Linked DNA regions of Bombyx mori. The protein of the gene in region 1 interacts with the protein of each later gene in a pairwise test. Links are inferred from orthologs where the notes say so. Each region holds a gene or a part of one and is shown on either strand. Other genes may lie near its edges. The genes, in order: axin and glycogen synthase kinase-3 beta.

Region 1 (3,600 bases):
GATTGTTGACTAAATATTTTATAATTTTGAGTTAATTAATTCACGCTTTTTTTCAAGTTTCTCTTAGTTATCAATTCATAAGTTCATATATCAATAAATTTGGCACAATATATTTCGGATTTTTTTTTTTATGGTTTTACACTTTTGGATACTCAAAAATTTGTTCGCCGTAGAAAACCGTGTTCACAATTTTCTAATTATCCAAATTTTAAATTATAAGATGATTCGCATTTTCAATTTTTCGTGCATAATTCAAACATTCAATTCAAACATAGAGGCATCTGACATATTTCCTCTGAAACTTGAATATTTTTACAAAGTCGATTCACAGTTTGTAATAAAAGTGTTGATGTAGTTAAAAATACTACAGAGTCAAAATCGTAATTTATAAGGGTTTTATTAATTTATAAAACATTACAATATTATTGCTTCGCTATGTATAAGTTCCTTATAAATAAGAAATACCTCACAATTTCTCTACAATTTGTTTGTAAACTTTTAGTTGATTTAAATAGCGTTATAAGTATGAAGTCATTTGTTTTAGTCATTTTTGTGTAGTTTTTAGATTAGCGTGTTTGATTTCGTGTTTTTGTACCTGCATATGTGGAAATAAATTTAATATGAATAAATCTTTAATTTTAAATCGAGTTTTACTGTCTATTCCTTTAAAATTTATCTTGATATTAATAAAAAGTAAGTTCGCCTTGGTATGTCGCAAATTGTGTTTTTCGATTGTCTAAATAATAATAGTACATAATTAAACTGTATTTCAATTAAAACTCACTTTAGGAGTATTCAAATAAAAGGGGAATGACACTGGTGAAATAATTAATTGTCCGAAATGTAAGTCTGGAAAGATCGAATCATACTGAATAAATCCGATGTCGTTTGCAAGGTGATGTTATATCCAAATATGGTTGTATTACATGAAAAACGATTTGAGACGGAATGAGTCTAATCAATTGGGATAGTGTTACATAATGGTTCAGTGGAACTTTTGGAAGAACCCGAGGAGCTACCTCCAGAAGCTTTGTTTCATTTTCTCGTATTGGTGCGATTTCGCAGATGCTAAATAGTTAATAAACCAACGTTATTAAACTTGGAGAAATTCTAAATCAGTTTGAAAAAAATAAAACGACTTACACAATGATTTTTGACTTACAGAACTTCGCTTTTCGCGTTCCCGCCAAATTTTTGTTTAGCAGTTCAGGGCGCAAGAGGGCGTCTTTGATTTAGTGTTTTTTTTTTAAATAAGCTTATTAGTATTAGTATATTATAGTATACTCTACCGATATACAAATACATTAAATATAATATAATTGACAAAAATCCAAAATATTTTTTATTTCACAATATTGGTAGGTATGTTGATAATTATGTTATTATGCGTGTGACGGAATGACACATCAAAGCGTTCATTAGTTGACCAATGTCCCGCTAGGTTACGCTATTGTGCATCAACACCATGGCGAAGGCGACGTCAAGAACGTGAATAAGTTTCTGTTTTCTATACGAAAGTGTTGTTTTTTGTCAGTTTATAAGTTGAAAGACTTACAATAAAGCTGTTCTCGGTGTCGTTTTGTTATTAAGTGCTTGAACTATTATTTCAAAATTAAAAGTTTTGTGTGTGAAGTTGTAACGAACTCTCGGAATACTTCGGAATTCAGGTGTCAACGAGGTAAGAAATTGATGCTTATTTCAAGAATACGCCTTCTAAAATTAACACTCACGATGCTGGTGTACATTTTAGTTATCTTAAACCCCGTAATTAGCCCGAAATAATAAAAACGTTACATTAACAACAATGAGCAGGTAATAGTTATAAATAATTTGCGTTAAGGTTAGGTTTGTGTCGTCTACCGCTGTGTTGAACGTTTATACAACCAGTTATGTTACGGGCTAGATATTCAATATATATTTAAAAAAAAACTTCACCTTTTTTGTACTTTCAAAAAGTTTGTGAACTATTTAAAACTTTTGAGTCACCTACTCACCTAGTGACCTAATATTGTTTTGAGTAGGTACGGATCGGTAAAATTAAAAATTAAATCATGAATTACGAAGTTCTTTCAATTACTTTTACAGAGATAACTGTTGAGTGATATTGAGAGAATCTATAAATCGAAAGTTTATTTGTTTACACTAATTTGTAAGTAGGTAATTAATGCTACAATTGATAATATGCCTGATAGATAGCAATAAAATTCAAAATATATAAATAAATCACCACTGGTTTTTCATTCTCAAAATAATTATATAATGAAGCAAAAAATTATATATATGACTTTTACTGTAAAGCTATGGAATAAATTTTCAATTACTTAAAGATACCTGAATTGTCACGAAAAACATTTTTAGTTAATTAGTATGTGGTCTAGTAGTAGTAGCCAGTAATTTAAACTAGAATATTCTTATGAACATGTGTTAAAACTATTTCTACAGCCAGTACTTTTTTGTATGGCTTGAAAAACAATAGGCATTCACCATTATTTTATTCATTTTTAACATTCCCCGAAGAAAAGTCTGATATGTGTACAAACCTAAGTGAAGTATAATTATTGACATATTGCTCCCAGTGACTTCATAACCGATGATAGATGGAATAATTATGTATAAAAATATGATGATGAGATGACATAATGTAATGATATAAACGTATACAAGTTTATGAAAAAAAAAACAAATAAAAACCTTTTTTAGAATAATGCAAACTTGCTTAAAAATGTTTTTTTTAGTAGGAACTCCAGCTGGGGCCTAAGCCGGTGGATTGTCTCATCATTAATATTTCATAGTAAAAAGATATTAAGAAAATTGTATATGCAGTGTCTCAGCATTAAAAAGCTGGAATCATAATAATTTATTCAAAATGAAATTGGGTAAATAAAATATCTTAGACAATCAGAATATATTATATCGTCACTTAATTTATATGAAAATAAAATCTAATTTGAGGAAATAATTAACACGAAACTTATTACCTTTGCAATCTTGTAAACTGTGTATAGAATTTCATAACATGCCGTCACCAACATTAAAATTACAAATAAGAAAACGCAAATATATTATTAATACAGTACATAATACATGATACAATGTCAAAAAAGAAAAAAAAAAAGCAGATGTGTCATCAATCCCTCTCTTCTTTTTGTAAAAAAACGAGGTTTGCAACAATCAATTCCCTTTGTGAGCGACATCAATGAGAGCGGTTACTGTGTACCTATCCTTTGATCTCGCCGCCCTCTGAAGATGCGACAGTGCGCTAATACCGGCGTCGCGGCGCTAAACGACGTAACCGCCTTTTTGAAGTTTCATGGACTAAAAATGTATCGATTCTACGCTGTTTTTGTACACGGACACAGGAAGCTCTCTTATAATTAATATTTGGACTAATATTTCTACATTTATAATTTTGTATCGAAATTAGATTATTTTAGATGTTGTGATTTCTAAGTCATAATCTTAACTGTCTACAAGATTCTATGAAAAAAATAATTAATATAAAATGTGCATAGGCCTTGTATGATTTTCATTTATTAAGTTAAGTCGTTTAAAGCAGACTAGTGAAATAAATTTATAGTGTAAAAATCTCAAAAAATGCAA
Region 2 (3,733 bases), on another chromosome or scaffold:
CTCGGCGAAGCACCTCGTTCGCGGAGAACCAAACGTTTCCTACATATGTTCGCGTTATTACCGCGCTCCGGAGCTCATCTTTGGCGCCACCGACTACACCACGAAAATTGGTACGTTTCTTATATCTATTATATAACTAATTGGACCTACGAAGTCGTCGTGGCCTAAAAGATAAGACGTCCGGTGCATACGTGTTGAACGATGCACCGGTGTTCGAATCTCAGGCGGCTACCAATTTTTCTAATGAAATAGTGTACTCAACAAATGTTCACGATTGACTTCCACGGTGAAGGAATAACACCGTGTAATAAAAATCAAACCTGCAAAATTATAATTTGCGTAATTACGGGTGGTAGGACCTCTTGTGAGTCCGCACGGGTAGGTACCACCACCCTGCCTATTTCTGCTGTGAAGCAGTAATGCGTTTCAGTTTGAAGGGTGGGGCAGCTGTTGTAACTATACTTGAGACCTTAGAACTTGTATCTCAAAGTGGGTGGCGCATTTACGTTGTGGATGTCTATGGGCTCCAGTAACTACATAAAACCAGGTAGGCTGTGAGCTCGTCCACCCATCTAAGAAAAAAATAAAATAAAAAAGAGATCTCTACCTCGTATCTTAACACGGGTGGGAGCATTCATGTTTGTGATGGCGATGGATTGGTAATCGGATAAAACTAATCTGTTCATTTGTCCAAATAAAAAGTTAATATTTCAGTTGGAACAGATCTTATACACGCCGTTTTGGAAATTTTGTTGTTAATGCCTGACTGTAATGCAAAACCTCACAAAGAATATTAATTATATTTATATTCGCATTGCTATATTGCAATGGTTTTAATGTTTATAATTATGTGTTTCCGTTTCCTAGACGTGTGGAGCGCGGGATGCGTTGTCGCTGAGCTGTTGTTGGGTCAACCGATATTCCCAGGAGATTCCGGGGTTGACCAATTGGTTGAAATTATCAAGGTAATACAAGTGCAGTCCACAGTCATAATATCCAAATTGTTAAGCTCGATTCCTGTATTAGTATATTTTTTATTGTTTTAATTGATAATAAATTAAATTCTTTTTTAACAGGTTTTAGGGACACCGACAAGAGAACAAATCCGAGAGATGAATCCAAATTATACAGAATTTAAGTTTCCGCAAATCAAGAGTCACCCTTGGGCGAAGGTAATAACATACTCAAAATAATTATTAGAATATTATTAAGGTAAATACATCAATAAACTTAACAGTGGGATCACTTCGAGAGTATCAAACTAAAACAAAAATATTTTCAAAATCTGTCCATAGACAACAGAGTAAACCGTTAAGAGATAAATTTAAAAATCTATCAAATATAGAGATACCTTTTTTGAATTTTGTTAAATTATCTAAGACCTTTGTTATGAAAAGAGTCAGTTTTTATGAAATCGTAATTTGTTCTTCTTTGAAAATCCATACATAAAACATGAATTTCATCCTGGATACATTTATGATAAGCACATACATTGACTAGTCCTTAGTGTCGCCTTCATAAATATCCGTTATATCATGAATTTTGTTATCATAATCATAATTGTTAGGCTATCGTTATTGTATATTACATACACGATACATTACTACGGATTTAAAGAAAACTTTTCATTGAAACTTCGTGTTTTCATTAGGGAACGTATGCGACAGCCATATCTGATAATCGCACGGCATTTTCTATGCGTCGAGGACGTATCTCGCTGTATTCTGTGGCCTTAAAAAATTACAAGCAGAATATTTTCAGCACGTAGACATTACAACGCGAATGTTACATGAAGGAGACATGACGAATTATTACCGTACTAGAAAACTGTTATTATATCCTTGAAACACACTTAAGAAGTAGAGGAGAGTTAATTAGGAAGTTAAGGCGAAGATTCTACCACTACACATAGATGATGAGGAAACTGTTAGTGTCCAGTTAGGTGGTTAGAGCTATGTATCCGATTTTTTTCTCGAACATACGATCCTTCTACCGCGAACTTGTAGTTCTGATGCGGAATTTACATTACGAAATTAGTGTCATGGATGTTGAACTCAGTTTCACGAAAGTAGTTTCGATATAATATATGCGAAAGTAATTTCGTAAAAAAAATTGTGTCGCGAAATCCGCAGTATCGCAGTAATGGTTACCTCGCAATGGCGCCATCAGCATCATAGCTATATTTTGCTATATTAAATGTAGCTAAAGAAATGCTTATATATAAACTTAAAAAAAGACAATCAAGAAAAAAAGACATTGGTAAATTTGAGAACGGTTAACAATAAGGCATTTATTACGAAATGCATGCATGCATTACGAAAATGTTAAGCTACACGTGAAACTGTTGGTAAAACTAATGTCACGAAATTAATTTCATGCCACTAATTTCGTAACGTAAATTCGCCCTGAGTCCAGTTTTACGTCTCTGGACGAATTCTGAGTTACAAGTGTACGGAATATAAGTGCTAGGAATGTCTCTGTCCCCTCGTCTCTCATCTTGCTCGAGTGAGCTTAGACTTTATTGGGGTATATGCAAGCGGTGCTGCTATGGGCAGTCGATTAAACAGACGCGCATCGTTGCAGTGTATGCTGGAGCGTATGTCCATGCCCAAGACTGCCACTGACCACCAGCGCATCCGAGTAAGAATCCGCTATTTGGTTCAACTAGATGCCTTCATTTACATCACGTTAAACTTTAAATAAGCTTGCAAGCTGAAAGTATTGTAAAGCAAGACAATATATGAAGGCATTTAGCGCATCCAAAGACGAATACCAAATCGCCTTTGACTTGAAAGTCGCATACAACTAATTCGGTTGATTCTGACAATTTCTCAAAATGATTGTTTGTTGGTGTTCAGTGTGCATTCGTCATTGTGTCGCACACGTGTTTAGTTTGTTCAAGTATAAAAATTTTGGAATGTGGGACGACGCATTACAAACCTCTACGGTAATGTTATTTTCATGTTTTATCAAAAGAGCAAACTTGACACGTGGTTCAGCACAAAATAACAAAAATAAATAACTTCATCATCCACGCATTATAATCGCATTAACTAATTAATTTTGAAAGATACAGTTTGTTAAATTATATCGTCACTAATCGAACCCATCGAGCTCACCACAGTCGAAGTGTTAATTGTACTCACATCTCAACGATACATAAAAAACATCCAGATATACCCTTGAATCGATGAATTAATATACCAGTTAGATTAGCAAGAAGCTTCGATTTGATTCTTCTCTCTCGGTTCTCAATAAGAGAAAAGGAAGAAGATGTTCAGACAAAACATACCTTCAGAAATCTATTGAGTCCATATTAACATCTATTTGTGACGGTGTGAGTCGAGGTGACCACACCGCTAACAAATCGACTCTCCTAATTAAATAGCCTGTATACATTTTGGTACCTATCTTCAGAAATCTATTTGTGACGGTGTGAGTCAAGTGACCACACCGCTAACAAATCGACTCTCCCGATTAAATACCCTGTATACTTTTTGGTACAAATATATCATAAAATACGAAAGATGCCCGTGAACCGCCAGGTGTTCCGCGCGTGCACGCCCCCGGACGCCATCTCGCTGGTGTCGCGGCTGCTGGAGTACACGCCGGGCGCGCGCCTGTCGCCGCTGCAGGCCTGCGTGCACAGCTTCTTCGACGAGCTGCGCGAGCCCACCGCCCGCCTGCCCAACGGCCGCCCGCTGCCGCCGCTCTTCAACTTCACCGAGTACGA

Evidence for each region.
Region 2: the proteins of axin (region 1) and glycogen synthase kinase-3 beta interact in a two-hybrid assay, tested with the Drosophila melanogaster proteins (2 studies listed by BioGRID, with this or other methods). The link is inferred for Bombyx mori from reciprocal best matches to the Drosophila melanogaster genes Axn and sgg.

The regions. Positions count from the first base shown.
Region 1 is NC_085123.1:13,487,561-13,491,160, forward strand, and holds the start of axin, read left to right. Parts: upstream 1-1,411; 5' UTR 1,412-1,678; intron 1,679-3,600.
Region 2 is NC_085124.1:8,496,611-8,500,343, reverse strand, and holds part of glycogen synthase kinase-3 beta, read left to right. Parts: coding exon 1-110; intron 111-867; coding exon 868-965; intron 966-1,076; coding exon 1,077-1,172; intron 1,173-3,527; coding exon 3,528-3,733.